3 linked regions of the Cricetulus griseus genome follow. The protein of the gene in region 2 interacts with the protein of the main gene of each other region in a pairwise test. Links are inferred from orthologs where the notes say so. Each region holds a gene or a part of one and is shown on either strand. Other genes may lie near its edges. The genes, in order: Znf366, Psma3 and Znf385c.

Region 1 (3,753 bases), on a different chromosome or scaffold from region 2:
GAGGCCAGCCACCTCATCCTAGGACCCTCGTCCTACACTTTTACCCACAGCCTCCAGTGGCTCCAGTTCAGCCCTTACATGTAGTCGGCCTACTGTCTCCTTGAGAGCCTCTAACAAGCAGGGAGGATATCAAAACTCAGAGGTTTTGTGTAGCAAGTACCCTCCCTGAAAAGGCAGAAGCAGCCACTGGCTTATTCTATCTGTGTCACTGTGGAAAAGAAAGAACAATGTCAAGCAGATCCATAAAAAAGAGACATGTCCCTTGGTCCAGACTTTGGTCTGCTGGTTTTTTTTAGCAGTGCCCGAGAGGGTCATCAGGGTGTAGGATCTGGCTTAGTGGGAGACATGGCAGGTTTGATAGGCTGTTCTTGACTTGAACATCTGCATGAAGGGAGAAACACAACTGTGAGTTTAGAGATTCTAACATCGGAATTTCCCCCTTGAAGTTACTTCTGATTGAGATTTAGAAATGTATGGACTGACACAATGACTTCAGAACATGCAAATGCCCACACGTTTTCTCTTCATGTCGGTCTCCTCTACTCAGCAGCTTATCTTGCTCAGAGTGGATACTCATCCACAGTACGTCTGAGCTCAGCATTGAAGTCTTCTTTTATGGTCTTTGAATATTCTAATCCAGTGCCACACAGACTCAAGCACCAGCGGCAGAAGATGGTTTTCATATGCAAGAAACTGACAGATGAAGCACATTAAAAACATCTTGGGTAGATACAACGGCAACTCAGATTGACAAACTCAACAGAATGTGGCCAGTTCTGATTCACCTGAGTAGCTGTGTGACTTGAACACATCGGTTCATCTCCAGGGCCTTGGGGCCCTCACTGTAAATAGAAGGGAGGAGAAGGGGACAACATAAGGGACAGATGAGTTTCAGACAGATCCACTCTTAGTCTCTACGGTACTGGAGGTCTGTGGTTCTTGTAGTTTACAATAGGCCCCGGAGCTCACTCTCATTGGTCGCTGAGTTTAGAAAAGCTCAGAGGGTCAATATAAACTAGTATCACTCTTTGTAAGTTAGTATTGATCCGTAACCCAAACCCTAATTCAGAAAGGAAGGTTGAAAACAAAGCAAAGCAAAACCACACAACAGTTTCTTTCTCTTTAAAGGGACCCTGTCAAGGATGCAGAAGGCAATGAAGATGGTCAAAGATGAGGATGGACCCTTCAACGCCTCCTTTCCCCACTGCCTACAGCCCGAGGCTTCCCGAGGAAAGGCTCCCCAAAGACACTCCTTCCCCGAAGCTCTCCGGGGCCCCTTTTCTCAGTTTCGATATGAACCTCCAGGAGACCTTGATGGATTCCCCGAGGTCTTCGAAGGAGGAGGGTCCCGGAAACGGAAGAGCATGCCCACAAAGATGCCTTACAACCACCCTGCGGAAGAAGCTGCAATTGCTGAGGAGAGCAAGAGCCTGGGCCCTCCGAACCTGGCTCTGCTTTTCCCGCAGCCACAGCGCCCCAAGTGCGACTCTCAGATGATCGACCTGTGCAATGTGGGCTTGCAGTTCTACCGCACCCTGGAGCACCTGGGGGGCAAACCCGTCAAGCAGGAGCCGGTGAAGCCCAGTGCCATGTGGCCTCAGCCTACACCTCCTGCCTTCCTGCCCGCTCCTTACCCCTACTACCCCAAAGTCCACCCGGGACTTATGTTCCCCTTCTTCATGCCCTCGTCCTCACCCTTCCCCTTCAGCAGGCACACCTTCCTGCCCAAGCAGCCCCCTGAGCCAGTGTTACCCCGGAAAGTGGAGCCCCTGGAAAGCGAGGAGACCAAGCAGAAGGTGGAGAGGGTGGACGTGAATGTGCAGATCGATGACAGCTACTATGTGGACGTGGGTGGGGCTCAGAAGCGCTGGCAGTGCCCCACCTGTGACAAGTCCTACACCTCCAAGTACAACCTGGTGACCCACATCCTGGGTCACAGTGGCATCAAGCCGCATGCATGCACCCGCTGCGGGAAGCTCTTCAAGCAGCTCAGCCATCTGCACACCCACATGCTGACACACCAGGGCACGCGGCCCCACAAATGCCAGGTGTGTCACAAGGCCTTCACCCAGACCAGCCACCTGAAGCGTCACATGATGCAGCACAGCGAGGTGAAGCCACACAACTGTCGTGTGTGCAGTCGGGGCTTTGCCTACCCTAGCGAGCTCAAGGCCCACGAGGCCAAACACGCCAGCGGGCGTGAGAACATTTGTGTGGAGTGCGGCCTGGACTTCCCCACCCTGGCTCAGCTGAAGAGGCATCTCACTACGCATCGTGGCCCCATCCAGTACAACTGCTCTGAGTGCGACAAGACCTTCCAGTACCCGAGTCAGCTGCAGAATCACATGATGAAACACAAAGACATCCGTCCCTACATCTGCTCCGAGTGTGGCATGGAGTTCGTGCAGCCCCATCACCTCAAGCAGCACTCGCTCACTCACAAGGTATGGGAGAGGGGCGCCAACGGAGGGGGGTTGCTGATAGACCACCAGGAAAGGAACAGAGCTGGGGACTTGTGAGTGGGGAGATCCGTGCTGCTCCTACCTAAAACGTAGAGGAGCTGTGTAGCCCTGGCCTTACTTGAGTCCTGGGGCCTTCCCCACATCACATAGCAAACAGTGAGCAACATGACCGTAGACAATCAATTAAACCCTTTCCCAGAATAGCCTTAGAGTCCAAGGTGGGACTGGAAATTACCAATGCAGACATTTGGAGAGGACATGAGGAAGAAGGAAGGAAGCAGCTGGCTGCTGTGATATTTCTGCTTAGCCCCCAAGAAGCTCTGGAATTTTGTTTCTAGAAACTTCTTTTAGGGCACCAGTGGGGGGAAAACACTTGTCATCAGATACCAGATCTGGTTTGGGCTATGCCAATGAAAGCCGCTTTCTAGAGAATTCTCTGAGAGCTCTTACCGGCTGAAGCAGGGGCTGGTTCTGTTGGCTGGTTCTGCTGTGAGACCTGCTTCCTCAGGTGGCTATAAACTGGAGCAGGGTTTGGCCTAGTCACTCAGGGCCAGCTCTTCCCTGTCAGTCTGTGGTATCCTTGTGGGAAGCAGGAGGAAGCTTCCTTCTTTGCTTGGTTTTAATTTCTCTGGGCTCAGATCTTCATGGAGAAATATAGACCCAAGGCTGGAGTTTCTGCCTCATTTGTAGCTAGTATTCTGTAAGTCATCAAGCCCAAACAGGCAAGGCCCCAGTGGCATCTTGAGAGCTTACTGCAGCTGGGCTGACTTGGGCCTGCTTTGAGATGCTAAAAGGGGACTTTTGCCCCCACTGACTTCTAGTCTCACCCTTGATCTCAGTGGTTTTCTTGGCAAGGAAGACTTCTAGGAAGCCAGTGTCTCTACTAGACCATCCTTTGTTTCCAAAAGGTCATGAGAGGACTGAGCAGCTGAGGCAACGTTGTCTCTACTCTCCTGGGTTTCATTTGTTAGGCTAGGACAAAACACGCAGCAGAGATGTGCTTCCTGCTGGACAAAGGGCACCTATAGGCACCATCTGAGGGCAGCTGCCTGCCAATCACAGGAACCACCAGCAGAGGACCTGGCCTTAGATTTGGCCACAAAGGCACCATCAGCTTAGCTCAGGGGTGCCTGTGGATGTGGAAAAGGAATCAGAGGTTATTGATTTTCAATCATATGGATTCTACAAGGCAATAGAAAATGAAGTTCGGACGGGGAAAAGAACCTGTTGTCTAACATGTAAACAAAGTGTGTTTTCAGTGGAGACAAGAGAAAACAGTAAGAGGTAGTGT
Region 2 (3,653 bases):
GTGTTTTAGAGTACTTGCTGCTCTTGCAGATGTTATGTTTAATTCCTAGTACCCACACGACTATTTACAAACATCATTAACTCCAGCTCCAAAGGGATTCAATGCCTTCTACTGGCCTTTGCAGGTTCCAAGCACACACAAGATACACATACATACAGACAAAACACACATGAAAATTAAATAAGTAAATTAAATTTTAAATTGGTCCCCACCCCTGTGCTAGATTTCCAACCCAAAGCCTTGAAAACGTCAGTTTATATTCAGTTTTAAGACTTAATACAATGATGAGACAATCACATACTCAAAAAAAATGTTTACTAGGTAGTTCCTGTAAAGAGCATCCTGAAAGCCAGTACTAAATGTTCTCCACTTCATAACAATATGTTCATTAATTTAAAAAACTACTTTCCTCAAATGAGTTTTGAATATTTATTCCCCTGTCCCCCAAGACAAAGTCTCTACGTGCAAGTGCACTGGCTGTCCTGGAACTCACAGAGATCCACCTGCCTCTGCCTCCTGAGTACTGGGATTAAAAGCATGCACCACCTTGACCTGGCTTTATTCTTTAAATGCTATGGACTGAAGACAAGGCCTCACTCATGGTAGGCAAGCATTAACTATTATGCTATACCCAGGTGTTTCTTTTATTCTGAGTCTTTTAATCTTTAGTAAGCTGTCAAGATCTTTTTGTGATGGCCCAGGCTAGCCTTGAATTTGTAATTCTCCTGCCTCTCCTCCCCAAGTAGCTGGGACTACTGGCCTCCATCACTATGCCCAGTTTTAACTGAGTTAAACAAAAATTGAAACAATGCAAATGATATAAATGATAAGGAAATGCCATTTAACTACAATTGAATTTTAAATAATGTAAAATTTACTCACATATGAAACACCCGACGGATCAATCATATAAAGCTGTGGACCATCATTCGTACTGTAAGACCCTAACATGAAACTGCATAAAAACAAACAGTTTACAACATGGTTCTCAATACCATTATATATAAGACCACTGTGATGAAACTGTGATTAGATTTTTCTCTGATAAATTAGTAAGAAACATAACTTATAGTTTAGTTCTTTGATAAGACAGCTTCAATAAAAACTAGTATTAAGCTACAGTATTGAAATTCCATGTGACTTATCAATGTTTTAAAGGTGTGCACCACCATGGCCTGGCAGAAATGTAACAAAAGGAGTAAGGACCGGCATGTAGTGAGAAAACCACAGCAAATGAGTGCACATGAAAAGGCGAAAGGAACAAACTGTGGTGAAATGTACCTTTCATTTCATTTCCCAGTATTCCTCTAGTCTGCAATGGTCAGAAATGGCTCAATTATTTTATATGCTCAACAAATTAAAATTAGGTTTGGTAAATGATCGTGAATTACCAATTTTCTGAAACTATTTCTTTTAGAGAATCAGCCTTATGTTAGCCTATCACATCATGTAAGAGCCAACCATCCAACCTATGCCCACTTTTCCCTATTCAAACTGATGCAATTCTTCTTTCAGAATATAAATCTGGTTATCATTTAAAAACCCTTCACTTCGGAGCTGTTACACACTGGTCTCTTTGCACATCTGTAGTATCACTTCTACATAACTTTGTATTACCTGTGCACTCCGGGAAATACCCACATTCCACACCATTACAAGATAGTCTTTACCCATCCCCCCAGTATTTCATGCACGTTTCCTTGTCACCTCTCTGAAAACAGACCACTCCTTAACTGCTGCTCCACTGTGCTCAGGACCAATGTCTAGACCCTATCATTTCATCTCTAATGGCTGTTTCATCATTGTGACATCTGTGTGCCCACATTAATGACTGATTCATGGCACATGCCCAAGAAACCACTACTCATAGAAAGGAGCTGATGAACATGGAACTCAATTACGATGAAAGGCATTCTCTAGTCAAAGAGAGGTTTCAGGAGTAATCTGAATGAAACCTTTAACAATGCTCTATTGGGGTCTAACACTGGTAATTAATAAGATTCAGGTTTTCAATAAATCTGTCATTTCATTTCTCTATTGAAATATGTCTGATAAGCAACTTAAAGGCTGGATTACAGCTACATAGTAAGATACTTGATTGTGATTAAGCATAGCCAAGTAGGTTTTGTTTTCTTTACTTAGAGACTGTCTTTTTTTTTTTTAACAAGACGCCATCCAAGAGAACTTTTTTTTTTTCCCAAGAATTTATTTATTATGTATGCAGTCTTCAGAGGGCACCAGCTCTCATTCAAGGTGGTTGTGAGCCACCATGTGGTTGCCGGGAATTGAACTCAGGACCTCTGGAAGACTGAGCCATCTCTCCAGCCCAAGACAGTCTTTTGTATCCCAGGTTGGTCTTAACTATGTAGCTAACAATAACTTCTGACCTCACCCACTTACCCCCCCCCAAGTATGGAGATTACAGACTACACTAGCTTATGAGTTGTTGGAAAACAGACATAGGAGCATTATTTAAGTGTTTAAATAGCTGTACCTCATGTCAAGATAGAAAGTATTTGAATATCAGGGACATAACTGCAGAGAATTTATTATGATTAGATTAAAATTATAATTATAATCATTCCAGGACTATGATTCCTGTCATTATACAGTTTTTAGAATATTTTTGGAGAAAGACTCCCTAAATATCCCAGCTTGGAACTCACTATGTAGCCTAAACTGACCCTGAACTCAGGGCAATCGTCTTGCCTCAGCCTCCTGAGAACTGGAATCACAGACATGTACCATCACATACAGCTTAAAAGTATACTTTTAATGGTTGCCTACTACTACTTGGTAAGAATTTATATTTCAGGTGTCTCAGGGGCTAATCTGGGGCATAGGGGAGGTGTCTCTGTGAGCAGAGTGCTTGCTGTACAAGCATAAGAACCTGAGTTTGGACCCCCAGAATCCACAGAAGAGAGTGTGGTTCATGTCTGTAACCCTGGTACACAGGTGGAACAGATATTAAGAAAAGGCTAGCTGAGCCATGGCAACCCAAGCCTTTACTTCCAGCAGAGGCAGGTGGATCTCTGTTAAGTTCAAGGCTGGTCTACAAAGCAAGTTCCAGGACTGGTTCCATACTGCTGAGAAACTCTGTCTTGGGGAACAACAAAAAAAAAAAGGCGGGGGGACTAATTTGTGGAGAAAAGTAACTACTGTATGAATAAGACTTAAAGGTCTCACAAAATTTCATACCTGCAACCAAAAGGTCTAACAGCACTGTAGAGTGTATAAGCGTGTACATACATGGCCACTCTGTCTGCAAGATGCTGTAATTATGAGGGGAAAAGACCTTATTAATACATTTCCATCACTGTTCAAAAGTTAATTAATTACTTAATTAATACATTTCCATCACTCAACATATTATCAACTTACTTTTAGAGGAATGTTATAGCCAAAGTTAGATCTAAAGTTGGATGCTTCTTCTCTTGCTATGTCTGCTAAGGAACGAGCGTCTGCCAGCAGACCTGCGACTGCCTGGAGAAAAAGAACCAATTTAATAGACAGTATTATATCAAACCAAAATCATTTACTCTAAGTATCATTTAAAGACCATCTCTGCTTAAAAGGTCTTTAAAAGGCATTTTGATGTTTTAATGTAAGATCATGGCTAATTTACAACTCAACTGCTCAAATGTTGAGAAGGA
Region 3 (3,653 bases), on a different chromosome or scaffold from region 2:
CATTGGCTGGAGGTGAGGCTGAAGACGCCACTGTTCCATTTGGGGTCAGGTTTCGAGGCTTCTGCTTGCTCTTGGCAGCTTCTACAGCCTTGAGTTTTCTGGCATGTCTGTGGCCCTTGTAATGAGCTTCAGCCTGGTTCTGGGAAACGGAGGGGAGGTCACATGCCTCATCCGGGAGTGAGGTTGAGCAGAGGGACAAGCCAGAGGGATGCAGGGTTAAAGAGGCACAAGGCATGGGCACAAGAGGTGAAGTCGGTGTCACCATCATTACCACGTGCATCTGGTCCTGAGGTTTACAGTGTGTGTCCTCATAGGTGCTCCAGCACAGGCAGCCTCAGCCATTTATAAACTATGCTTCTTTAGGTAAGTCACAGCACCTCACTGAATTTCCTGTGTGTGTGTGTGTGTGTGTGTGTGTGTGTGTGTGTGTGTGTGTGTGTGTGAATGCTCTCCACTAGACTGCATCCCCAGCCCTGTTTGCTTTTACTGTGTATTCCCAGATCTAGAAGGGTTGAGCCCAGGGACATTCACCAAGTGATTCCCTTGGTGTGTGTCTGTATATACCGAATATTCTGGAAATGGACTACTTATCGTGTGGTCCAGGATGGCTTTAAACTCATGATCCTCCTACCTCAGCCTCCTAAGTGCTGGCATCACAGGTGTGCACCACTGTGCCCAGCTTTAAGCTTTGTGACTGTCCAGGTTAAATGGGATATGAATTGTAAGTCAGTTTACAAAGTAGAGGCTCCTGAATGTTAAGGGGTACACATATGGAAAGCAAAGCAGTACTCATATTTTGGGCTTATGTACTCCAAAAACATTCATCCTATTGTTCATTTTTTTTATTGAGCATTTGCAGTTGGCCCAGCCATTCTTCGAGGGCCTAGGGATGGAGACATGCTCCTTCCAATGATTTTCTTTACCTACTTTTTGTGGAATGAAATGTCACCTAAGCATCTGGAGAGAAGACTATAGCTGGACTATTGGCATCCTCCCTGCTTCACTAGGAGCCTCTACTTGTGGTTTCTCAACTCCTGTTTCCCAAAGGTGGGAAAGACAAGCCTCCACGGTCCTCCTCGATCTGTTTGAGTACAATCCACAGTGGTTTTAACATCTAACCCAAAAACCACAGTAAAGATCCTTCTCTCCCAGGGTAGGCTGCAGTAGGAGTATGCAGACCTCAGGGTCAGCCAAGACTGGGTTCAAATCCTAGCAATGCTATTTCCCAGCTGTGTCCTCAGGCAAGCTATTTATCCACTCTGAGATTGTGTCCTCCTCAGAAAAGTGGAGATGGTAATTGTGCCTCTGTACCTCTCACAGATGCATCATGGGAGTCCATTGAGTTGATGAAGTGCAGTCACGCACACCTTTAATCCAGCACTCGGGAGACAGAGGCAGGTGGATCTCTGTGAGCTTGAGCCATCCTGGTCTACAGAATGAGTTCCAGGATTGCTAGAGCTACATAGTAAGATTCTGCCTTGACAACAACATCAAAATTTACCGGAGCTGGGTGTGGTGGTCCACATCTTTCATACCAGCACTCGGGAGGCAGTGGCAGGTGGATCTCTGTGAGCTTGAGGCCAGCCTAGTTTCTGTAGCAAGTTCCATCCCCCCCCCAACAAAGACACTGGGGTGAATATATGCTGTAAACATCTCAGGTCAAGACCAGGAGCTCGCTCACTCTATGGCCTCTGGGACATCCAAAAGATAGGTGTGAAGCAGAGGGGAGGAAAATGGAACCCCAGCATGCTACATGTGAGTGGGAGGGATATGAGAAGGGGAGGGGCCAGCAGATGATGGGTGTCAGAGCACAGCTGAAAGAGGCCTAGCTCCCTCCCACCCACATTTCTGTGACTTCCCCCTCACCGCTGAGTTGAACCTCAGGTGACAGATGTTACAGGAGATGAACAGCTTCTTCTTCAGAGGGGAGGGGACCCCAAACGTGTGGCTGATGACAGCTTTCTGGACTGGGTCCATCTGTGAGAGGGAATGATAGGGTTTAGTTCCTCCTGCATACTCCGAAAAGGTACAGCTCCAAACATGCTCAGCCTCCCAGACCTCTCCTGTCCTGTGGCTGTAACCCCGACAAGGGCACAGCCTCTTCCTGGCAGACCCAACTTGTCAGGCCACAAGGGGATGGCCAGGGTGACCTGGCTCTTGCAGGATCACCTTAGTGTCTCTTGCTGCCCTTCTGGTCTTAGTTCTTGGTTATTGGCTTCTCTTTTTGACAGGGCGTAGTATTGGGACAAGGAGTTGAGCTCAGACTACAACAGGGAAGGGACAAAGATTCTTTTGGTGGGATTTCCTTTTTCCCAACCCAGGTTTTGTATCTGGACCTGCTGGTGGGGACAAGAAGCCCTACTGCATCAGCCCTACTGTCCAGAGTCTGATGTCTGCTAAGGAGAGTGAAAGCATGGTCAGGGAGTTGGGTGGCCAAGCAGGACAGCACTGGGAGGCCTTAGCGTTCCCCCCCCACGGCAAGTAGCAGGATTGTCCCTTTAGAATGTGAACTTGAGTGTTTTCTTTTTTTCCTAGTTATAAGTTTCATACATTTTTTCTTTCTATTTTTTGAGGCTAGGTCTAATCTAGTTTAGGCTGGCCTTGGATGCTGTCTTCCTGCCTCTGCTTCCATGTGTTGGATTACAGGTATGTAACATCAGGCAATTGTCTTTGAGATAGTCTCAAGTAGTCTAGGCTGGTCTTGATCTCACTTTATAGCTGAGGATAACCTTAAATTGTCCCTCCTGCCTCTACCTCCTAAGCATTGGGATTAAAGGCAAGTGCTATCACATCTGATTTATGCAGTGCTGAGAATCAAACCCAGAGCATTGTGCAAATGAGGCAAGCACTCTGCCAACTGAACTGTAGTCCAAGCCTCTTCAACATTTTTTTCTATTGTCTTTTCTCAGGGGTCTAAGTTTTGGGATTTTTTGTTTGTTTGTTTGTTTTTAAACAGAGTCTCACTTCATAGCTCAGGCTGGCCTTTAACTCACTGTATAGCCCAGGTTGTTATTAATACACATTCCTTCTACCTTACTCTCCAGAACACAGGCATCACAGGCAGGACCACCATGGTGTGCTTTAGGGGCCTAGGCTGTTGGATTCAAACTAGAAGTTGTCTGGTTCAGTCAAAAGGAACTTAGCAAATTTTCCCATGGGAAGAAACCAGAGGCAGAGAGGAGAACATGCTATAGCAACTGCCCTGAGAACAGAGGTTCCAACCTGGCCAGTGTCCAGGGTAGAGCAGATCCGTATCAGGACCTTAGAGGGAGGTCTTGGCAGTGGGCCAACAGTGGTGTCACCTGCCTTTGAGCAATGAACACATCTGTAAATGACAGTAGGGGTTGAAGCCCATAGACCCATGCCCAAATATGTCATACTTCTCAGGACCTGTGTTCAACCCTGGAGGTGACAAAAGGGAGGGAGACTCCTACAGGTTACTGGGAGGGCATGCCACGTGGGTCTCTTGGGGATGGAGTGGAGTTCATCCTGATTTTATTTGATTTTCAGAACTAAAAGGGTGCTGTTCCTCACACCTCATGGAGTACTCCAACATTTTTCCTACACCACACACACACACACACACACACTCCACACAACTGAGTGCATGCACATAAGACAGAAATACACAGACACAAGTTTAGAGGAAGTTA

What was found.
Region 1: the proteins of Psma3 (region 2) and Znf366 interact in binary tests that used the Homo sapiens proteins (3 or more experiments, as listed by UniProt). The link is inferred for Cricetulus griseus from reciprocal best matches to the Homo sapiens genes PSMA3 and ZNF366.
Region 3: the proteins of Psma3 (region 2) and Znf385c interact in a two-hybrid assay, tested with the Homo sapiens proteins (2 studies listed by BioGRID). The two-hybrid records come from large-scale screens. The link is inferred for Cricetulus griseus from reciprocal best matches to the Homo sapiens genes PSMA3 and ZNF385C.

Annotation. Positions count from the first base shown.
Region 1 is NC_048595.1:317,993,847-317,997,599, forward strand, and holds the start of Znf366 (zinc finger protein 366), read left to right. Parts: upstream 1-1,142; coding exon 1,143-2,444; intron 2,445-3,753. UniProt on the Homo sapiens protein: Has transcriptional repression activity. Acts as a corepressor of ESR1; the function seems to involve CTBP1 and histone deacetylases.
Region 2 is NC_048598.1:132,396,849-132,400,501, forward strand, and holds part of Psma3 (proteasome subunit alpha type-3), read right to left. Parts: intron 3,484-3,653; coding exon 3,382-3,483; intron 3,273-3,381; coding exon 3,199-3,272; intron 956-3,198; coding exon 883-955; intron 1-882. UniProt on the Homo sapiens protein: Component of the 20S core proteasome complex involved in the proteolytic degradation of most intracellular proteins. This complex plays numerous essential roles within the cell by associating with different regulatory particles.
Region 3 is NC_048600.1:113,683,384-113,687,036, forward strand, and holds part of Znf385c (zinc finger protein 385C), read right to left. Parts: intron 1,978-3,653; coding exon 1,867-1,977; intron 140-1,866; coding exon 1-139.